Linked DNA regions of Struthio camelus. The protein of the gene in region 2 purifies or fractionates together with the protein of the main gene of each other region. This does not show direct contact. Links are inferred from orthologs where the notes say so. Each region holds a gene or a part of one and is shown on either strand. Other genes may lie near its edges.

Region 1 (7,958 bases), on a different chromosome or scaffold from region 2:
ATCAGGTAAGAGCAATAGCATGTGGGCCTGCTTAGCGGTACATGACCACACTGAGCCCGTGCCATCATTTTAAAGGCTCCTGTTCAGAGACGCTGTGTTTTACATAAAGCAAACAAAACAGTCTTCGTTGGTTGTAGCTTTTGGGGATGAAAAGATTTTTTCCACCTGTAAAATCCCTTCTCTCCTACAACTATCCATCTGAATTAATGAACGTCCACCTCTGACTCTTGCGGGCCCTTGCCGAGTTGCGGTCGTGGGCTATGTCTGCCCTAAATGCAGTGATTTAAATTCAGATGGAGTTACGGACAGCAAATGCCAGTCTGTCCAGCATTCTCTTCTGGGCTGGCTTTTCTTGTTTAAGTCTCTGTACCTACGTTTGTTCTTTCAGGCTGGCTTTCAGCAACAATTCACACAGTCGAAATGCATCGTGATATCGCAAGCCACGTGCTTGTGCACTTTTTTACCTTATGTATGAACCTAAATAAATAAAATGAGCTCTACCATCATCCACATTTAGGGGAAATATTTTCAAACCTGCACATATTTTCATTATCTTACCAAGATACTCAAATTTTGTCTGAACAATAAATAACTCCTTCAGTTTCTCTCACTTCCGAAATAGCTACTTAGGTTCTCTCCAATAAAAGTAAAAAATGCAAAATGTAGTCTGATGTTTTAACCACTTGCATTCTCCAAAATAAGGGGAGGTTTTGGCCCCCTCTCCTCGTTTCAAATAATGAGCCACTCTTATTAAAATCTACTTGGGCAGAAAATAGACTCCTCAAGGTCCCATTTAATCTTTCATTTCAGAGCACTCCTTTTATTCCACTGGAAAACACTACTGCCATCCTTCTATGCCCCCCTACACCACAGATCTTGGCATGAAAGACTAGTGGACCCTACTCACGTTCTTACCAACATTGCTGTGGAAAACTAGTGACCTATACTCTCAAAAAAAGAAAATAAATCCTGCCAAACACTAAGCATTGTCACTTTGGGGAAATACTTGAGTCTCAAGAAGATGAGATCTCAAAATCCCACAGAACTGCTCCATGTTACCAGCTCTGCCCTGTTCTATGCAAAGAAACATGAAAAAAATCTTGAAAAACTATACTTTAAATAAATCTTACAAGTAGTCCAAATTAGATTTTCTTCCCGAGGTATCTATCCCAAGTACTACTGTGTATATGCACCAGAACAGCAGTCTGAATAATCATTTTCACACTCTGCACGCTCCCATTCAATAGAGTATTTTTAACCAGTATAAAGAAAACTTTTCCTCAATAACATTTTTATGTACCAATGAACATCCATTGACGAGAAATCACGGACAAAATCAACTAATATGTTTTTGAAACTTTTTTGCACATGCAAATTAATAACACTGATGACAATGAAATCATTCGGCACTGTTTAAAATTGAAGGCCCCTCCAAATATTAACTTTATATTTCAAGCTCCAAAGACAGGATCCATGCATTTCAGTATCTGAGCTTTGATAAACTTATTTTACAACAAAGTAAGATTACTCAAGACTAATCCCAGCTGGACCTGACAGTACTAAGGAGGCTGCCAGTGACTTAGGAAAAACAGGTTCTCACTGACATAGCAAGAGAAGCTGCGAAGGTCACGAAACCGGCCACTCCGAACTGCTACCGAAGCGGTCAGGCGCCGCCTACGCTCGGGGCCGCGAGCTGTGTTCCCTGCTCTGTCGCTAGCTCTCTTAGGTGGTCTTGGGAAAATCGCTCTGCTTCCGACGCCTCGGCTTCACCGCACATGACAATGAATAATGACCCCATTATAAAGCGTTTTAGTATTTTGCATAAAAAGACCCACCTCAGGCATTGGCACGGTTATGCGAAAAAGAGTGAGAGTGCATGTTAACACAATGGGAAGACTTCTGAGAACGAGGGAGAGAGAAAGGAAAGCTGTGAGAACGGCAGAAAGAGCTAAAGCAAACGTGCTATTTTTCTTTCTGTATACGAGAGGGCCTACAGCAGACTAAGAAGCAATTATAACAAATCGTACTGTAGCGTACCTCTATCTGGCAAGCTAGGTACGTGCAGATACTCCTGATACTGGGTTACACGGTTAATATTTGCTTTACTGATCAATATGCTCAAATTGAAAGCCATGCTTTACATTACTCTCATTTTGAAAACTAAAGCCTGTTATTCCACAGTAGTCCGTTTTTTTACAAGATTATTTGCCATTCCCCTCCTGGTAATTTATTTTCTACATAATTAATAACGTTTAATGATTCTCCACAAGCACACTTTGCCAGAAAGCCAAAAGTGACTCTGACAAAGCAAACATGTTTTGCAGCTTATCCAACTGTTTTAAAGCTATCTGTTGGTAACACAAAGCTAAAAATGCAATGAGGAAGAAAATAATCAATAATTCTATAAAGAGACACTTCATTATGGTAATTAAGGCAATGATTTAAAGTAGTTATGAGGATGATTAACACACAAAAGAAATTATGCAATAGGGTTTTAGCAAACCAGGCAGACTTACTACTATTTTATGATGCCTTACAGAGTAACTTTCAGCAATTTAATAAGCTTTTGAAAATAAAGACTAATTTCTTGTCTCTATACCTGGAAAGAGTATATTCTCAGTTTGGGGGGGGGAATTTTTTTAAGTATGCATTAAGTATTTCTACTGATTTGGTAAATGACTAAATTAGCTTGTCAAGTTATGCTGGTTCAAAAGATGTATTTACCAAGAGTACCCAGTGAACTTACGTACGTGGCCTAGAACCACATGGGTACTACAGTCACTGCTTCATCAGTTCATATTCTGGTAGAGTTGTGAAACGGTAATATTCTGTAAAGATGTAGAAAATGTCCAGATAGTGGGTAGTTTACACTCAGAGAAACCACCGCTTCTGAAGATGGGCTTTCTTTTAACATCTTTCAGTGATTAATAGCAGTCTTTTATCTAAACCACTAGCAATCTAACGTAGTTATTACCAATGTTAAAAATCATTAGAGTAGAACATATTACTGTACTTTAACCTACATGAGAGAGAAATGAAAGGCATTCATAATAGTCAAACGCATTACAACATCATACTGGAAATATTTTTCTAAGTCATTAGGACCGCTGTTTTCTAGAGGAATATGCATTTGCAATTAGTACATGAAAAATGAAGTATGCATGACAGACACTACTAAAGAGGCATGACACATTTTTCAAAATCCCCTAATTAACTCAGGAGCCTAAAGGGTTTTTCTGCATATTCACATACTATTTTAACCCTACCACTGTAGTTACAGTGATACAACCTTCCCTGCACCATGTGGACTTGCTTGAGCTGTTATGGAAGATACTACAGAAAGATAAATAAGGGACACGCAGCCTAGCGTTTGTAACAGTACAACTATCTCAGCTGCTTTTTAGGTCTCCCTCCCACACCTGATACAGCGTGTAGACCAAACGAAGAATCTCGTTTCAAAAGCAGTTTGTGATGTGAACTCCGAGCAGCGAAGCGTGGGCAAAACAAAAAGTCAGGGTGGGTTATGGCGAGGTGGGAACGTACCAGGGAACAGCTGCTGCGCTGTAAGGGTTTGCATGCACGCTCTACGCCCTACGCAACGCACAGAAACGTGCACTGTTTACTGAGGGTGCGCTAGTTCGCTTGACCCAGGAGAAAGACTGTGCCCACAGCTACTCGCCAGAAAGTGATGGCCTCCTCCAGCAGTAACACCTTCCTCAGTTTATATTCTTGGACACACTCTTAACAAGAGTGAGACGCAATACCTTTGAGAACCGGACACATTTTCTAAGGTACTTTTGAAATGGAGGCTTGAGATTTCACGTCATTTTATCTGCAGCCTTCCGAAAACCTGCATGCCAACACAGCCTTAAACATCAAGGAGGGACTGCTGGCCAAAACAGTATTATGTTTTTAAACTGAAGTTTGGGTCATCTCCTCCCATCCTCCCTAGTAAGCAGCAGTTTGTACGCTGAACAGTAACACCCACTGCTTTAATAGCTCTTTCAGGACTTTGTGACATACTAGAATATATTGGTCTTTAAAAACGACTTTACGTGCATGACAATCACAGGAACATAATAGTGCTATACATTTTTTTCTTGCTTCTTCTATAGGACTTTATTTTCTGCCCTCCCTTGCATGCATTTCTCATGCATCATAATCTCAAAGCATCCTCATTTGAGACCTACAGTTCCCTGTCTCCCAAATGCTTTTTTGGCTCCTTCGCTTTTTAAAATTCATGCAGACTACAAAGTCAGGCACATCTTTTAAGGTCTGTTTTGTCCCTCTTGCTTTGATCCTCAAACTTATAACACTGGGGCTTTGATGGCTGATTCTTAAGAGGCAGCTGTCCTTCCAGAACAGGATAGCAATCAGTGGGCACTCTGAAGAATGTCGAATTTAGAAAGGGGAAGGCTGCAGGGACCAGTTAGTAAAAAAAAAAAAAAGAAAGAAAGAAAGAAAGAAAAAAATCAGCCCCAAGCTGACTGAACCCCAAGTTCTGACTGGATTCCCCCTCCCCAGGACCGGTGAGGACGGTGCTCTCAGGGCCGAGGGCTGCAGCCGGGCCGGGCCCAGCCCCGCTCCTCATCCCCGGCAGGCCTCCTGCACTGCCTCGGGGCGGCCATTTTACCTCGGGGCAGCGCAGCGCTCTGCCCCTCGGGCAAGCGCCGCTCAGCCCCGCCGGCAAGACCCCCCTGGCTGGACCCCCCGGGCCGGGGCACCCCCAGCCCCGCTCCCCGCGGCCGGGAGGCCAGGCCAGGCCCGGCGCGGCCCCGCCGAGGCCCGCGGCCTCCCCACCGCCGCTGCGCCGCGCCCCGCCGCCCCCCACCCCGGCCGCCGCTGTGCATTGTGGGACACAGCCCGCGCCTTGGCGCCAAGCGCCCCCGCCGCTCCCCGCGCGGTGCACTGTGGGACGGGCCCCTCCCCTGCCCCCAGCCGGGCCTTCTTTGCGTGGACTCCGCACCGGATGTGACGCCACCGGCCTGCCGCCGTGATAAGCGCGGCCGTTGAAGGGGCTCTTGCCCCAAACGCGGGGAGCCGGGGCTCCCTGAGGAAGGATTTAGCTCGCCGCAGCCCTCCCACCGGGAGCTGCGCTGCCGGGACTGGCCCGGCTTCTTAGCTGTAATCGCCGAGAGCCAAAAAAAAAAAAAAAATAGCGGGACTACTTTTTCCTGCCGCGCATGCGCAGGAGGGCGGGGTGGGAGCGCGGCGGCGGGAGACGCGGGCTCGGCCGCACTTGTGGTGGTAAAGGCGGTGCTGCGTCCCGGGGTGAAATCGCTGCGCGCAGTAGGACCGCGAGGGAAGCCGTGGTCGCCATTTTGAAGCGGTTGTTGGGGGAGGCGGCGTGTGTGCGCTCCCGTGTGCCCGGCTCGGCCCCCGCGCTCGCCGACCCGTCCGCTCGCTGAGCTCCGGCTCTCCACCGCCGCAGCCATTGCTGACCTTGCCATGTCCGGAGGGGGCGTGATTCGCGGCCCAGCCGGCAACAACGACTGCCGCATCTACGTGGGGAACCTGCCCCCCGACATCCGCACCAAGGACATCGAGGACGTGTTCTACAAGTACGGCGCCATCCGCGACATCGACCTCAAGAACCGCCGCGGCGGGCCGCCCTTCGCCTTCGTGGAGTTCGAGGACCCCAGGTGAGGCCCCCGCCGGCCCTGCCGTTGGGGTAGGGGGGGTGGGGGGCCCCCCGCGTGTGCCCACCCGCGGCCTGCTGGGGAAGGGAGAACCGCGACGTTTCCCGACCCCCCCCCCCCACAGCCGCCCCAGCGATCCGGGGCACCCGCCGGAGCCCTAACGGCCTCCCCCGTGCTCTCCCCCCGCTCCGTGGGGCGGCCGCGGCCCGCGCGGGGGGAGGGCGGGGTGGGGCCGGCGGGAAGCGGGAACAAAGGCGGGGGGGGGCGGTGCGTGGGCAGGGCGCGGCGGGTTGGGCGCGCTGCGGTCGGCGCTCACCGCCCGTCCCGGCCCGCAGGGACGCGGAGGACGCCGTCTACGGGCGGGACGGCTACGATTACGATGGGTATCGCCTCCGCGTGGAGTTCCCTCGGAGCGGCCGGGGCACCGGCAGAGGCGGTGGCGGCGGCGGAGGGGGTGGCGCCCCCCGGGGCAGGTATGGCCCCCCGTCCCGGCGCTCGGAGTACAGAGTGATCGTCTCGGGTGAGTCCTTTCTCTCTTTCTCTAGTTAACGCGTTTCCCCCGGGGGTCCTCGAGGCGGCTTCGCAGCGCCTGGTTTCCGTGCGGAGCCATGCCGTTCCTGCAGCTTTTTCCCCCCCTTAAAAAGCATCCCCCTCGGGTATTCTGGAAGCAGTGTTCACAGCTTCTCAAGGCAGCCTTTCTCCTTACTGAATAGTTTGTCTCACCTGTTGTGGCATGCTATTGTATCTAATATCTAATACTGTATGATAATGTAGTTCATTTTTCAAGTAATGTATTGCCTTTTATTCAGGGCTGCCTCCAAGTGGAAGTTGGCAGGATTTAAAGGATCACATGCGTGAAGCAGGTGATGTATGTTATGCTGATGTTTTCCGAGATGGCACTGGTGTCGTGGAGTTTGTACGGAAGGAAGATATGACCTACGCTGTGCGAAAACTGGATAACACTAAATTTAGATCTCATGAGGTAGGTTTCATGCTTATTTTTGGGCCAGAATTGGATACAAAGGGCTTAACGATAGGATTTGAAGGTAAGGATGTGTGGTTGCCATTGTACTAATACGCAAAGCATGTAAGCTAAGCCCGTAGTCAGTTTGTCGTAAAATAGACTTTAAAGACTTGATGTCTATTTCTGTGCTTTGGTAAACAATATCTTCAGTCTGTCAGCATGCCTAAAAAGATGGCCGTAAAGCCTAGACCCTTCAATCGAAAGTTCTGTCTATTCAATAGGGAGAAACTGCCTACATCCGTGTTAAAGTTGATGGTCCAAGAAGTCCAAGCTATGGAAGATCTCGGTCACGCAGCCGTAGTCGTAGCAGAAGCCGTAGTCGAAGCAACAGCAGAAGCCGCAGTTATTCCCCAAGAAGAAGCAGAGGATCTCCACGCTACTCTCCCCGTCACAGCAGATCCCGTTCTCGTACATAAATGATCACTAGCAATGATCTTTTTGTAGAACCCCGTGTTGTACACAGTTTTCCTTTACTCAGTACAGTCTTTCATTTTTTAATTCAAACTGTTTTATTCAAATTGGCTGAAGTGTTGAATTGCATTCTTGTGTAAAATCCCTAGTGAGTATTTGCTCCTTAACATCAACATTCCCCTCATGTCTTTGGTAAATTGTATTTTAATTGATGTCAGTCAGGATTGTTTCAATTTAGTTATAGTTAACTACCAACATTCTTCAAACTGTGGTATTGCTGTGTAAATGTCTCAGTGTTCGGCTATGGTTTATACAAGCTGGGGATGTTGGGATGTTTGTGGCTAACTTGTCTCTTCTGGGGGATCTTATATTTTATCTTGCCTTTTCGTGTGTCTTTCTGTAGACATATCTGAAGAGATGGATTAAGAATGCTTTGGATTAAAGGATTGTGGAGCACATGTCAATCATTTTAGGATTGTCAAAAGGAGGATTGAGGAGGATCAGATCAATAATGGAGGCAATGGTATGACTCCAAGTGCTATTGTCACAGATGAAATTGGCAGTATTGACCTTATACTGAGAGACAGGTTAATTGAGTACATGCACCTACTTGTCACTTCTTCAGGCATGTTTTAGTTCCCGCAGACTACAATTGCTCTTTTCTTTAAAACTTTTTTGGCAATTGTGGCTAAATACTTGCTTTTGTAATTCTCTATTCCATTCTAGTTTTTTAAAGGAATAAACCGGGACGGGGTGGGAGTACTGGTTTACTTTGTCATGCAGCATTTGGTTACAAGTGTTAATGTTATGTAGTATTTGTACACTTGTAGATAAAGGGTACCTTCAAATCAGATAGAGTATAATATCAATACTGCTAAAATCTG
Region 2 (7,808 bases):
AAGCTGCACTTCTGGCTCTACTAGGGACTACCTAAGAATTGACCCCAGGCCTTACGCGTGCTTTACAGACAAAGAATGGGAAATCCAAAGGTACAGTTCATTTTAAATGCTCCTACCTTCTGAATCTGTACAGCCAACTCCCGAGTTGGGGCTAAGATCAATGCCTGGGTCTCGCGAACCTGATTAAAACAGCTCAGTTAATCACATGGCCATGGCTGATCAAGCTCAACCGAGATTACAGATCCTACAGTGCTCCACAATGTCACGTTTGAAGGATTAATTACAGAGTTCTGTGCTAAAACCTACTGCTTGGAAGGGTCAGTTCACCTAGAAAGCTGCTCCCACACAAAGCGTTTACACAGGAACAGCTGCTTATGTAAGTTACTTTTGACAAGATGCAGTTCTTCATTTCATCACCTCATTTTTCATTCCAACCTCGTTTCTGAAAACAATTATAAAAGCGAGTGTGCTTTTCTTGTAAAAGAATAAAAACAAATTTTCAAGTGACTTAACTTTCATACTTTCAACTCAGGCAAAAAAGCTTTGCATTGTTCAAGGATGCCAAGACAATGTTTTAAAGTATCATATTTGCGAAATATTTTGAGCGCTTTACAGAGAGGAGGTGAAAAGCTGACCTCTCCATTCAGAACAGGGAGCTAATAATTATGTCCCCAAGCAATACCAAGTGAATGACAAAGCTTAATTTAAGGGACTACTGGTCCACAGAAAATCATGCTAATGTTCAAGTGCACCTATATAATAAGTTGTATTTCAAAAACATTTGGGCGAACAAAATACTCCTGACTAGAACAAAAATGAACATCCGTCAGGCAAAAATCTGGCTCGACTCTGTGCAATATGTGCCACCTGTTCGTGGACAGGTTGATGATGATGTTAGGACTGTTTGAGGACAACTGTCTGCTGGAAGATTAATTTAGCCATCTAATGCTGTCAATAAAAGCATCTGGAAAAGATTAGCTGTTAAAAGGCAGCTTTATAATTGCAAGATTTTATCTGAACTTTTTATTCTGTCAAGGTGGGTTTAACAGTTAAATCCTGACAGCAACAGAGCGTGATGAAATTTTCAGTCAGAATTTTGGCCGAAGGTCACTGCCCATAATTAAAAGATTTCAGTTTAAAGCTTCATTCCTTCACTCTAGCCAAATGAAGGCTTTTATAATGAAAATGCCAGTGATCTACTTTAAAAATTCTTTTAACATGTGCTGCGAAGTCACCTGTATATCTAGGCACTGCAGAACAGAGATGGAGAACGTTGCTGTCTTCCCCGTTCCAGACTGTGACCTGAGAAAGAGGTGTTTGGTAAATACTTTTTCTTCTGAACAGCTAATAGAGGCAATTTCAACATACATCTCTCACCCCTCTGCCCAAAGGTAGCTTTCTGCCATTTGTTCATTGCAAAGAAGTGAATATTGCAAACAACAACTTGCTAAGACAAGTTCGACTGGTAAGAAAAACAGCTTTAAGAAATGTAATCTCAGGGCTAGAGTACTCTCTACTGCAGGGTCCCAGCACTGTCACGTTTACCCCTTACTGCACCAGCATTTCAACTTTCTGCAATTTGCCTTGCAAGATTTTCTTTTCTTTTAAAGTAAAGCAGTAGATATGCTACAATTCAGAAGGCTATTGATTTCCACCAGTGACTGAGAAAATTTTTTTTTCAATTGGATGTATACCCTTTGTTTCCGGAGACAAATACAAGATCGTTTCTACTTACTTCTTTTCCCTTGACGAGAGACCGCACGTGTCTCTGTACTTCTCTAGCTTTGCTGGAAACCACTCCCAAGAGTCTCAGACCCCCGTTTATTCAGAACACACAGCATCTTGGCTGAATGTTTATCACAGTGGCACATCTAGAACATCACCCACTTGGGTTGGCTAGATATTACCAGCGCTGTCAGGAACACTGTCTGCATGTCGGGTGGCCTGTTTCACCCTACAGCGTTTACGATGTGATTTCCCCCGTCCTCTGCCACGTCAAGCAACGGCTGGGAAACGCCATCGACGCACCTCACCTCCAGCTGCGGGCACGGACCGTCACCGGTGCTCGCAGCGCTGACCACGCCAGCTCCGAGCAGAGCCGCGTGCAGCGCCAGCTCCTCCCGACGGTGGGCGGTTCATCTGGCGTCCAGCACCCTCAACTCACTGCACATCTTTTTGGGCAACCCCCCCCCCCCAGCTTCATAAAGACAAACAGGTGGGTATTTCCGAAGCCTTTGGAGATCGGAGCCCGGCTCTGTGCACTGGGGGGGGGGGGGGGGGGGGCTCCACTTACTGTGCGATCACGTCCCGCCCTTTGATGATCTGCTTGATTGCTCTCTGCTGGATGGCCGACGGCTTCTCGAAACCTGCCAGCAGCGGGAGGAAAGGGCGGTGAGGCAGGGCGGCCAGGGACACCCCGGTCCCCCCCCGCCACGCCCCCTCCGCCTCCAGACCACGCCCATCCGATGGTGGCCACGCCCCCAACCCAGACCACGCCCCCCCCTCCGCCTCAAGCCCCCACCTGGGAACGCTGCGTGCGCCGCCGCTCCAGCGCGCATGCGCGCGCCGCCCCAACATCCGGGCGCCGCCGCCGCCCGCCCCTCCCCCTCCCCGCGCGCCTCCAGCCCCCTCCCCCCGCCGCCGCCGCCGCCGCGCTCCCGGTTCTTCCCCTCCCCCCCACCGCCGCACCGGGCCGCACCGTAGGCGTAGATGCCGCGCAGCAGGTCCTCGCGCAGGCCCATGGTGTCGAAGGTGGGCGTCACGTCCACCTCCTCGCTCGTCTCGAACTCCACCTTGGTCATGTCCTCCTCTTTCATGAGCCGCTTCCGCGCCGAGCCGGTCGCGCCGCCGGACCCCGCCGACCCCGACATCGTTGTTGAGGCCCGTTCCTCGCCGCCGCCGCCGTCTCCCCCCTCCCTTCCCCCCCGCGCGCACGCAGCGGCACCGGCACAACCGCCGCCACGCACGGAGGGCCCGGCCTGGCGCGCATGCGCCACCGCGGGGGTGGGACGGGCGGGACGGGCGGCGCGCATGCGCGGCGGGGCGGCGCGGGCGGCAGGTAGGAGCCGCGCGAGGCGGCCCGGGCCGGTCCGGTTGGGTCCGGTTCTGTCCGGTTTGGTGCGGGCGGCGGCGGCTCCGTCTAGTCGTCGTGTAGGCAGGGGCGTGGTGGGGCTGCGTTTCTGCTGCTGCTGACTGAAATATTTTACCGATTAAGGCTGAGCGTTTGCTTTGTTGGTGGTTTTTTTTTTTTTAATTGTTATTATTTTTAGCGGCAGGACTCCCGCTCGCTGTAACGGCCCGGAAGAGCTGTTCTCCTCTCCTCTCCTCTCCCAGCATGAGCTCTGGATGAGCGCTCTGAGCCCGCTTAAGGAAAACAAAAAATGCCCCCGAATGGAGCTGTCAATCAGTGTTTACACACCTAAATTAAAAAAAAAAAATTACTTAGGCCAGGTGTCTCCCGAAGGTGCTGAGCGCCCGGCGCGTCGTAGCCCTCGGTCAGGCTCTTGGCGCAGAGAGATTTCCCCGGCCAGGAATCGGCAGTTACCGTGGAAACCCCAAGCAGCCGTGCTCCCGGCGAGGAAATAAAAACGGGCCTTTTTCCCAGCCTGGTTTGTTTTCATTTGCGTTGCTTTGGCCATTCGTACCCCAAAACGCATTGAAAGAGGCTTCCAGCCGACGCGTACCCTGCAAAGAGTTGGCCGGCGGCTGAGAGGCCGGGGCTGGAGCGGCGAAGGCGTCGGTGGCTTGTGAGCTCGTGAGGTGACGGCCAGCGTCAAAGAGTGATGAAAATACCTCCGCTCTGCGCCGGCCGTTTGGGAAAAATCCTGCCTCTCTGAGGCGCTCCGAGAGAAACGCTGCGGTCGGACGGCTTGCGTTGCCTGCGTGCTTTTGCCATCTCTCGTTCGTGGAGGCACTGCAGGTAGCGCGGGGGCTCGCCCTTGTTTCAAAAGCGGTATTTCAGAAGGTGCCTGCATGTGGGACCCGCTTTGCCCATGCGCACCCTGGCGTCCTGCCCCAGACCCAGCAGCACCCCGAGCAACGTGCGGGTGGAGGACGGGCTGGCTCTCAGCCCCCGTATCACCCCCGTGCAAGCCCAGGGGTGTCAAACAAGGGAAAAGAAAGAGATTTGTAGAGGAAGCTGAGAGAAGCCAAGAGCAAAGCGTGCTTTGCTTTGCCTGGCTCCAGCCCTGTCCCTGCCGTTCCTCTGCCCGTGTCCTGCAGGCAGCAGGGGTCCCGTTTTGACAGAGCTGGGTCTCCAGGTTTGCTTCTGGGGCAGAGGGTTTGGATCTGGGCGTGCTGCACCCCACGTCTTCCGTTCCTGTCTGGGATTTCAGCAAGATTTACATCTTCCATCTTCTTTTCCCCTTTTTCTCCTCCTTCAGCAGTGATTTTTCTTTTTCATCCTCGTCCTCTTTCCACCAGTCTAGACAGCTGCTTGGCTGATCTCTGAACAAACCCTTCAGCTCTCACGGGGGAAGGTTCTCTCCTACTTGGCAGGACGGTCGTTGAGTCCTGAGCTAGAATTCCATTTGACGTGCCGAAACAGAGCTGTCATGGAAAAATGGGTGTTTCCAGGCCCAGCATGTCTGAGGGTGCCTGGGGTGCACCAGGTGAACGTGGGTCGGTACCGCTTCAGTTGCGAGCGGACACGGTTGTGAGGAACTGGACCCTTGAGGAGTGACAGCAGGTTTGGGGTGCGTGACCCACGCCCCGGGGCAGAGAGCGGCTGACGTTCTTTTCTCTTTCTTTTTACAGAGCCCGAAGGCGAACGAAGCGGGTGAAAGCGGTAAAGGCCCTGGCAACGTGGTGGGAAGGCTGTTTTCAGGACGGCAGACTCGTACCATGTTTTCACCTGGAAGCCTGACCTAGGCTGCAGCCCCTGCCGTGTGCCCAGCCCTTGCTTGGACGTGGCTGAGGCTCAAGTCCAGGCTCTCCGGGAGGCGCTTGGTGTGGGAGGCAAGGGATTCCTCGGCTGGTGCTGGTCTGCAAGAGCGTTTGGCTGAAGGAGCTCAGGAAGAAGGTGAGCAGGGGGGAAAGGCTGGGAGCCAGCCTGTTGCGAGAGGACTGGCAGGGGGATTTGCTGTGCATTGACTGCGTACAGTCGAAATGATGGTCCGAAGCAACCTTTGCATCCTGCAGAGCACAGGCACTGGTCCTCAGCCGGTGTACTCCAGCACAGCTTCATTTCCCTGGAGGCAGAGATAGCTTCCTCTGGAGAGGAGCTGCTCTGTAGTGGTGGGAAGGGAACTCTGAAGGCCTCTGGTCTAGTCCTCTTAACCGCAGCAGGGCCAGCTTCCAGGCTAGACCACGTTGCTCAGGGCTTGTCCAGTCAAGGTTTGAACATCTCCCAGGATGGAGACCGCACAGCCTTTCTGGACCTGTCTCAGGGATGCACTACACTCAGGTGGAAGAATTTTTTCCTTATGGCCAGTCAGGGTTTTCCTTGTTGCAGCTTGTGCCTGTTATATCTTGTCCTTTCGCTGTGCATCTGAGAAGATTCTGCCGTTTCCAAGATGAAAGGCTATGTCCAGGGTGAACGCACATCTCTTTGGGGTCCTGGGGTAGGCATGGGGGCCTTAATCCCTTCTCTCCCAGAACCGGAGCAGGGTTCAAATGGTTTTCATGCTTGTGTGGATCCACCACTGGGCTAGTGTTTCAGGCTTGGCGGAGAGGAGTTTGATTCTTTGTACGTGCATGGAAGAAGTGCAGTGTTAATTTTCAAAGAGGGTTTTTTAATTGTGTGTTCTGTTTGCACTGCAAAAAATAAAATGGGATTTCCTTTAAGAAGCTGGTTTGGATGCTTGCAGCTGTGTTTCTGAAGCTGGTAGGTTTCTCTTCTCTTGACCTCAGTCTTTAGGAACTCAAGGATTTATTCACTAAACTGGACAAGGATGGCAGAGTGAGCACTGAGGAGTTCCAGATTGGCTTTTTCAGCCATGCAACGCTCTCTTCCCGGGGTACACCAACGCCTCTCAAGCAGCCAAGGCTGTTAGCGCTTGACGAGATGAGTTTAAAGGAAGAAGGCTTTCCTTTAAAATTAAAGATCCTGGTTCAAGGCCTTGATCTGCAGTTGCTTGGAGGTGATTTCCATTAATTATCAGGATCCACAAGTTATTGCCAGTTCCTTATGCAGGACAGTGTGTAAGGGCAGTGTGACACAAACGTCCTGCAGAGAATCCAGACAGAAATCCAGCTGTCATGCCTGGGAAGGTTTCTCTGTCCTTTTCCCCCCCAAAAAGGAGGCTGAACAATGGGGCTCTGCTGAGAGTGATTCAGGCCAAGATGTTTCGTTTCACGAGGGGCTGATTTAAGAGCCGCTAATGGAGGTGACTTGGGCACCTGAGGGCAGTGATTTGGGGACAGTTTTCCACTTGCCGGGCAGTTCCTGGGGATGGTCTGGACTTCACCGCTGTACGGTAAGTAAACGACTCCTTCCAGAGCTGTCTGAGTAGTTAAAACCCTGTGCAGGTGGATCGGGATGATAATACAGAATAACGCAGCGCTGCCAAGCCTCTTTTTTTTACTGGAGAGAGAGGAATGCACTTCATGGCAGAGGGGAAAAATGACCGCAATTCTAACATGGGCTTCAGAAGTGCTGACATCTCTGCACCTTTCCTGACTAAGGTTGTCCCCCGTTTAGTGCACAGAGCAAACTTCATCCTGCTTTAACTGATGTAAAATATTTCTCTCTGCTTAGTGCTTTTAATCCCAGGGACTGTCAAGGTGTTTGCAAATGCTTTAGAAGTAACTGCAACTTCAGTGCGTTAAGGCAGAAGTGAATAGCTGATTCCCCCAGCAGCCAGAGGAGCTCCGTCCAGGATCCTGGGCAAAACTACTCTTTTAAAAAAAAAAAAAAAAAAAAAAAAGACTAACACAAAGCGTTTCAGGCTCTTTTGGCTTACAACTTTGAGGTAAGTGTTGAGTGAGGCAAGGCATCCAAACTTGGTGTGAAATTGGTACTCTTGGAGATGTTACCAGTTGTGCATGGGGTCTCTGGCAATTGGGTGCTGCTCTTTGGGTCAGTTTGGCTGAATCGCGCTTGCCTCTGAAGTAGGCAGAGTTAAGCTGCCTCCAGCCCAATTTTAGCTCCTAGATCAAACAAAAAGTTGTCTGGCAGTCCTAGTCTGATGTTTTTCACAAGACCATCTGATACTATATAACTTCCAGTGTTAGTGTTTCTGTGGATGCCGAGTTTTCTGGGTTGTTAGGGAGATCAGACTGCTTTACCGCTTGCTCCTTTTGGCTGCCTGAGGGACAGTTCAGGACATCTCACCTCCTGGCAGCTTGGTGTTATTTGTAGAGCTTTCTCCAGTATCTGTGGGGTGCCTGCAGCCTCTTTTTAGTATTGAAAGATTCCGGGTTTTCTCTGCTAGTTTTGCCCTGCTGACTGCTCTCTGTTTTCTTTCCAGGCATTTGTTGGATGGGCAGGGAAGCAGCTTGTCCTTCCCGCTAAGCTGTGTGGGCCCACACCTCTGCTCCAGCAACGGCACTGGATTTGCCAAGTCTGAGCTTGTCGCTGCTGTTTGGCCCCAGGAAGTGGTGCAGAGCCAAGGAGATCCTCAGGGTCTCTAGTGCTGCCTTGTCTGGCGGCAGTGAGTGAAGCAAGCACAAGGCCTTCCAGCAAGCACCTGTCTGGGGAAGAAGGAGCGCTTGCAGGCAGGTTTGTAATGATGGGGTTTTGTCCACCTCAGGACTGGAGAAAAATCTGGGATTGGATGGATGTGATCCAAGCCTCCCTGTGAGACATGGGGGTCACGTCAAGGACTGGAGGGTGCTTGGATGATGTGACAACAGAAGCCCTATTGGCA
Region 3 (7,574 bases), on a different chromosome or scaffold from region 2:
AATTGAACATATGAGTTGATTTGCCTAAACATGCCATATGTAAACAACAAAAATAACGTTTTCCAAAGAGAAACAGCAGAATTGCTTCTGCACTGTTATCTTCTCACTACCTTTTGTCAGTTGCATACTAATCTATTGCAACAACATCCTCTTAAACTATTAGTTAAATATATGTAGGGGAAGGAAGCCCCTTTAGAGTGGCTAAATCAATCACATTTTCTTAAGAAATTAGGTGCTCTGTCTTTCTCGACTAATCTTTTTAAACACCAGGACACTAAGAAGATATCAGAACATGGAACAGCAGGATAAAATGACACGTCTCCAGTGTTTATCAGCTTTGAATAATGATTATACATTTAATTAGCTTTAGTTATATTACAGTAACAAAAATTAACTGAGAAAAAATGAATGCGATCAATTTTCAGGCCTTTGAAGTTGCATTTTTAGCATCTTCCCTGTCAAAAGACACGACAAGTTTACATATTCAAAGTAACAAAATATTCTCCACAATCTTTAAAAATATATAACTTCTGATCTTATAACAGATGAGACTGTTGAAATGTACAAGCCTAAACAGATAGAGGGATTTGTTTTTTGGCAGTTACTGTCACAATAGGTCCGTTCCCCTCTCCCCAGCATATAACTTCTGGCATCAAGATGAGCATCAGAAAGATTCTGCAAAAAGCACCTTAAGAGTATTCAGTTTGACAAAAAGAAAAAAGGAAAGGAAGAAAAAAATGCACCATTCTTTCCCCTTGGCAGGATGGCTATCGACTTCTTAATACCTGAATGTGCTCTCTATGCTTTTTTTTTTTTTTTTCCCATTTTACTTCAAAGGCTTTTCAAACATGTTTAGACAAAAAAAATCCTCTAGTCTGGTCTTTTAGCATAAGTTTATTTGGGTTTTTTTTTTTTTTGTTCTTCTGGCTTGTAGTTCTCTACCATGAGTTCTGGAAAGATCACAACCGATTAAAGCTTTGAAAATTAAGACGACTTTATTAAAGCTACCTTTTCAACCAATTAATATATATGCTGACTGCATACAGACACACAGATTTTATCAATATTTAATAATTGTGATGCCTGAATTCTCAAATAGGAAAAATGTTTACCTTGCCAAATCTAAATCTGAGTTGTTAATTATTATAAAATAAAACAACAAACAGCCCACGGGGTCACATCTCTAATTCCACCTTTGGGTACAGACATAAGCATGCGAACCTGGAGCAAGTCACACCATAGCAGCTACACCCAGGGTGTACGCTAAGCATCTGAAAACACAAGACAATCAATCAATTCATCCTGGGATACATCTGCTATGGCAGGATAATACCACTTTTAGCCTTGCACCGCACACCTGTAGATCTTCAATACCTGGACAGCTTGACCTGTTTTAAGTTTGCTCACTTGTATATCCACAGCTATATCATTTATGGAACCCCATACATCAGTCAGTATTTGCAAGTAAGAGGAAAAAATCAAAAACCATCCAAACTGTGTTTTGGTTCAGGATTAAGAACTTTTATCTACAGTATTTCAACTCATCTTTAAAGTCATGCTTTAAAACATGGATAATTTATAATCATTTCATCATTAACAATAGAACTACATAAGTGTTTACCTAGATGCAATAAAACTTATCAGTACATTCCACGATCTTCACATGGAGAGCCTAGTTTCACTTTTTTTAAAAATATGGAACAGTTTCTCAGGTTTTTTTGTTACGTACACCGCCAAGGTGTGGCACAGAGACAGACAGCATTCTCATTTAGAACACTTCTTGGCATGCGAGTATATAACCGCAGTTCCCTTTTTGCTTTCACTTCTGTAAGGCCACTACTGTCAAATAACAAACTCATCTACCAACCAACATCAGACTATATAAAAAAATACTCATTTTTAAGCTATCAGGAAACAGACCTCTGAATTGGAGCATAAGGCCATATTGCTTGTTGCTCCCATATCCCATACCAACCCAAAACAAACGAGCTTAGCAACTGTGCAGGAGGAAAGGTGGCAAAGAGTAAGGATAAAAATAATAATTAAAAAAAAAACACGCATCTATTGGTCTCAGTCAGAGAAAGGAATAAATTAAAGGGAGTAACAGTGAATTTCCACAGGTGCAGTATCCAACTTTTGGAAAAGCAAGTACTACCTGTAATTATATTTGTTTTAAAGACGGAAACAAGCCGCGACCACATCCTGAAGCATCTCCGATGTCTTACTTCGGCATCGCACCGAAAAGCGACGCGCCTGTCCCGATCCAACAGAGAGGGCCGCTGGCTTTACCAGCGGAAGAGAGACCGCAAGTTTTTAGCCTCGGCGCCCTCTCCCTCCGTTCCCAGGGAAGGAAGAAAAGCCCACGGGTTTCAGGCCCGTGTGTCCCCCCCCACCCCCCCGGCTGCCGGCTCGGGGAGGGCAGCCAGCGCCGGGCCGCCCGCTCCGCGGCCGGGAGCCTCCTCTGCGCGGGTCAGCATCACGCCGCTTCCACTTTCCCGTCCGGAGCGCCCAGCCCGCTCAGGGCTTCCCCTCGCCGGCCCCACGGCCGGGCCCGCCCGCCCCTTCCGGACCCCCCCCACCTCCCTCCTCCGCTTCCCCGGTGGCGGAGACGCCCTGACCCCCCCCCCCCCGGCCACCAACGCGGTCTCACCTGTGCCTCGATGGGTCCCGGCGGCCCCTGCCCCGCTCCGGGGGGTCCTTGGCCCTGCCCCGGCCCCGCCTGCCCGGGCCCGGGCGGGGTTTGGGTCTGGCTGGGGAGGGTGAAGTCGGTGAACTCGAACTCGGAGCCCTGCGTGTCGGCGCCGAGCAGCTCGGCCTCCTCGGTGTCCAGGAAGGTGAGGGTTTGCGAGCTGGGGCCGTACGCCTCCACGCTCATGGCGGCGGCGGCGGCGTCGAGAAGCGGCGCTTCTCCCCCCCCCCCAAAAAAAAAAACGCGAGCCCGTGCCCGAGGCCGAGCCCGGCCGGGCCTCACCTCAGCGAGCCCGGGCGCCGCGCTACGCGAGCGGCAGGATCCGCCGCGCGCACCAGGCCGCGCGCGCGCGCGCCAGCCGGCCGGCCACCAACGAACCCGCCGCCGGGGCGGCCGAGCCAACGGCGGAGGGGGGGGGGGGGAAAGGAAGGCGGGCGGGGGGGGGGACGCGGCCGAAGGAGGCGGGGGGGAGGGGGAAGCGGGCGGGCCCCGCCACAGAACCGAGCCCCGAGGCGCTGGGAGCGGAACCGTCCGGCCGCCGCCGCCGCCGCTGCTGCCGCCGCCGCCGCCGCGCGCCAGGCCAGGAGCGGTGACGCGCAGCGCACGGAGGGACGACGACGCCAGCACGCCCCGTACGCGTGGGAGGGGTGACGTAGCACGCACACACCTGGGGAGGGCAGGCGAGGGGGCGGGGCTCCGGCGGAAGGCGCGAAGGGGCTCGCGCCGCGCCGCGCGGGGGAGGCGCCGCCAGCCACCTGGCGGGCGGGGGGCGCTGCCCCTTTTCCCCCCGCTCAACTCCTTCCCCCCGCCCGCGGCGGCGCGTAGGGGGCGGGGCTTACTCCTTGACTGACGGCCCTGACAGCCAATGGGCCCTCGAGCTGAGGAGGAAGGGCGGGCTGTATGGGAGGGGGGGCGCTGTGGGAGCCTTTGGCCCCTGTGGCGGCCGTTGGCCCCTGTGGTGGCGGTTGGCGCCTGTGACGGCAAGGGGTTTCGGGGGGGGGGGAGGTGGTTATCGGCCCTTGTGGAGGCGACGGGAGCGGGAGGGGGGGAGCTATGGTGGTGGCCGGCCCCTGTGGTTGCGGGGGGGCTGCGGAGGTGGCCGGCCCCTGTGGAGGCAGCGGCCTCTGTGGTGGTGGGGGAGGGGAGGGGGACTGTGGTGGTGCACGGCCCGTGTAAGGGTAAGCCATGGGGGGGGCTCGTGGTGGTGTTTGCCCCTGTGGAGGCAACGTGGGGTCCTTCACCCCCTCGTCCTCGCCGGGAGCTGCTAGCACCTTTTCTACGGCCTCCTTACCTCATGTCCCCCGTTTGAAATGAGTGCGTTGAGTCACGCAGAGAGCAGGTAGGAGAGTTGTGTGGGGGGGCTTGAGGTCTGTTTTGAGACAGACGTGATGATTAAGAAGGCTCCACTGTTATAATAATATCTGCTCTAGCTGTAATACCTATTATACTCGTAATAGTCATAATTTAACAGTGTAAAAATAGTCAGAAAGCTGAGTTGCCACAGGGTGGGGGTAATGGAGTGGGCCATGGAAATTCCTCCAGGTCGAGGAAGGTGAATGACTGGGCTCTGCAGAGGAGGTGAGTATCACGTGTTGCTACCCATAAATAAAGAGAAAATTTGAGTGCCCTCATTTCAACATCCTTTTATTAGAACAAAGCATCTTTTTTTGAGATAACTTCTGTGTTGTGAAAAACATTGACGCGAAAAGTTAGATATTCAATCCGTTTTCCCTACTAAAGACTTCATTTGACAACTGTAAGATGCAAATATGTACTGCCTTTTTGTAAGTAACTTTAATTTTGTTCTTGCTGTTGGTGTAGGATAAAGCCTGGAACCAAAACAATATGTGGGACCAGATTTGCAGCTGTTAAGCCGAAAAGATGTAGCTGAAGACAGAAGAATATCCTTGTCCTGGGAATATTGTGCACCAAATTGGGGGAAAAAGCAAGTAGAGTTAGTTATCATTTTTCACACACTGACTGTTTGAATTCCTCTTTAGCTTTAAGCCTCTGTGAAGAAGGAGACTACACCAATAGCTTATTATAAAAGTATCCTAATTCAAGATTCAGGTTAAAGTAGATTAATCAAACAAACGACTAAAACCAAAAGGCAGAATGAAAAATTGATTCTGGAATTATGACTGCCGCATTAGCTGCTATTTTGCACAGTGATATCAAGATAAGTCATACATAATTTCACCAGTGTTACAGGACAGTCCGAATGTTTAGGCTCTTTGATTCCTGAAGGTGAAATACAGCTGAATTAAGTACCACCTATAATCTCATTGGAAAGCATTCAGAGGATGAACCAAATTGGTATTTCCATAAAGCAAACTGGAAATTAACTGTTTTGTAGTTTAGGGAAAAGTACAACTGTGAGAAAATAATAAATCCTACTTTAGGATGAAAGCAGAATTGAGGAAGAAATTTATAAAATCAGGTAGGCCGTTTAGTACAGACACTTGTTTATGAATAAACAAAACATACTTCAACTTTTGGCTGGTTTACAGAATCCTCAAAAGTTTTGGACACCGATCAAAGTTTTGATGTGTTGCTAATGGCTGCCTGGATTTTTTCCCCCTGTCCTCTGCATAATACGGAAAATAAGAATGTTTTCAAACAGACTTTAGTTGGAAAACATATAGAAAGTTGCAGGTCCTGCGCTCATAGTGCCATCAGAAGCTGAACTCAGTTTGTGATACGGAAGCACCAGCGACGTAAGCTGTGTCCTCCGACAGAATCGCGCTGCTGTCTAAGGTGCTGAAATTGGAGGGCTGCAAAGAGGTTCTGTGGATCCCCTACCCCCCAGGAGGTTCAGTTTCCCTGTTACACAGGTAAAAAGTAAAACCATAGTGAGTCAGGTGTGGAAAGCCTATAGTTCACTCTGATATGTTTCAACAAGGGCAAGCTAGATTAGACTGGTAATTAGTCGTGGCCGTTAGGCTCCCGGTTGTGTTTGTACCAATATAGAGGCATGACTTCTGGAGAGGCTGCATCTGTATCTCATGGCATAATTGTTTGATCATAGTTTACTGCATGCGAGAAACTCTGTGGACTACTCTGGTGTATTTTGAGGTAAAAAATGTATGCAGGCTGCACTACAAAGCTTCCTGGACAACATTTGTTTCTGTGAGCTGTGTTTTATCTAATGTTCTTGTGAAAGTTTTATCTTTTAAGTATGGGCTCATGTAGCGGGATGGCCACTCTGAGTCATTGGTCTTTACTACTGCGTGCCCAATATGAAATCTAAAAAGGTAACGCTCTGGAAAATGAGAACACAATCTCTGAGAAAATTATGATGTTTTACCATTTTTATACATGGATAGAAGCTAGAATTTGCAGGGCATACTTAGTCATAAAAAGCTGTCCGAGAGAACAGATTTGGATGAATTTAAAGAGGATACTTTTTGCTTGCTTCCATAAGCAAGAAAGTTTAAGTTGTTTATCTTGAAGAGGTGAAAGTAAAGGTTCTTCTTGATTGTAAGTGTTGAAATGATGTGTACTGCAGTTTAGCCATTGATAGAAATAATTCAATCCTGTCTCAGAATAGTTAGCTGTGCCAAAGGATTTTCCTTGAAACTCATTTCAATTCCAAGACACACTCGCATCAGGATTTGCTAACTGCACAAGAGAAGAGTGAAAAAAAACCTGTTATGAAAAAGAATGAACTGATTGGTCTCTGCAAACTCCAAGCCTTGGAGATAGTGTTAGGAGGTGTCATGATGACGGGAAGGGTTCAGAGCCAATCAAACTGGGTGTGAAAAATCTTTGCAGAGCTGCTACTTTAAATGGCAGGGTTGGCTTAAAAAAATCAAGTATTTTTATCCTGGAATAAAACATCCCAGGTTAGGGGACAATACGTATAAAGTACACGTTTGCCTTATCTGATATCTCTCAGGTGGAGATCCCATGTTCTTGATAAAGAATTCATAAGGAACACTCACACACTGCACAGCTGATGGTGATTTCTATACAATAAGTACTGTGATTTTGCAATACATTAACATATTATAGAACTATAAATGTAATCAGTAAATTTATTATGCATATTTAATCACTTTACCTTCTTACCAGTTTTGTCGCTTCACATTTGCATTTTAGCATCTATTTATTTTTTCTTTTTGGTTTCGTATTCATGAAACTCTCATTAGTTTAAAAGTTCTTCTCTCTCTGTTCTTCCTTTTGTTTGCCTCTCTCCTAAAACAAATCTTCAAGTGAAAATCCCTTGGAGTTTTACCTAGCCTGACTGCTAGGAAATGGAAGAGCAGAGGATACTTTAAAAAAAAACAAAAAAGCAAAAACCTATTTCCTTGTCAGAATATACTGAGAAGTTTTCAATATCAAAGAATCTTGAAAGAGAAAATCTTTTAATGAAAAAAGCACCAAAAATGCAGCAACAAAGCAAAAATTTTGGAAGACAGTAAACTAGCCATTCCATTGCAGATGTTACACTTCTGCTCAGTCACCACAAGAGGGACATAGAAGGAAAGCTAACATAGCGTTGGAAAAGATTCATAGCAACATATATTTCCTTTTGTTTGGAAAGGTCTTCTGGGATCATAACATTTTGATAGCTTCCTTCATCCCAAATAATCTCTAGAAAGCTTCCTGGACTTTAGAAAATGTGATAATAAGTATTAATAGCTAAAATGGATCTTTTCCCAGAACTTCATAATCTTTTCTGACCTTTTTCCTGCTGGAATGTCTGTAGTAGTGTTGGGATAGGGAGTGTTTGGGCTGCCTGTATTTTTGTTCCATCTCTAGCTATTGGACCAACAAATATTGGAGCATTTAATAGGCACTGGACAAGAAGATTGTGGAGCTATTTTTGTTTACTTGTATTTGATTTTCATGAACTAATGGCTGACGATGCAAATATAATGAC

Evidence for each region. The genes of interacting proteins can lie anywhere in the genome.
Region 1: the proteins of EIF4A3 (region 2) and SRSF1 fractionate together in Homo sapiens (co-fractionation; 4 studies listed by BioGRID and IntAct, with this or other methods). This does not show direct contact. The link is inferred for Struthio camelus from reciprocal best matches to the Homo sapiens genes EIF4A3 and SRSF1.
Region 3: the proteins of EIF4A3 (region 2) and UPF1 purify together in Homo sapiens (co-immunoprecipitation; 8 studies listed by BioGRID and IntAct, with this or other methods). This does not show direct contact. The link is inferred for Struthio camelus from reciprocal best matches to the Homo sapiens genes EIF4A3 and UPF1.

What each region holds. Positions count from the first base shown.
Region 1 is NC_090957.1:20,532,284-20,540,241, forward strand, and holds the start of SRSF1 (serine/arginine-rich splicing factor 1), read left to right. Parts: upstream 1-4,941; 5' UTR 4,942-5,448; coding exon 5,449-5,642; intron 5,643-5,974; coding exon 5,975-6,159; intron 6,160-6,448; coding exon 6,449-6,621; intron 6,622-6,884; coding exon 6,885-7,079; 3' UTR 7,080-7,958. UniProt on the Homo sapiens protein: Plays a role in preventing exon skipping, ensuring the accuracy of splicing and regulating alternative splicing.
Region 2 is NC_090944.1:139,884,953-139,892,760, forward strand, and holds the start of EIF4A3 (eukaryotic initiation factor 4A-III), read right to left. Parts: upstream 3,029-7,808; 5' UTR 2,871-3,028; coding exon 2,699-2,870; intron 2,367-2,698; coding exon 2,294-2,366; intron 1,303-2,293; coding exon 1,236-1,302; intron 180-1,235; coding exon 117-179; intron 1-116. UniProt on the Homo sapiens protein: ATP-dependent RNA helicase. Involved in pre-mRNA splicing as component of the spliceosome. Core component of the splicing-dependent multiprotein exon junction complex (EJC) deposited at splice junctions on mRNAs.
Region 3 is NC_090967.1:6,071,360-6,078,933, reverse strand, and holds the start of UPF1 (regulator of nonsense transcripts 1), read right to left. Parts: upstream 3,018-7,574; 5' UTR 2,876-3,017; coding exon 2,651-2,875; intron 1-2,650. UniProt on the Homo sapiens protein: RNA-dependent helicase required for nonsense-mediated decay (NMD) of aberrant mRNAs containing premature stop codons and modulates the expression level of normal mRNAs.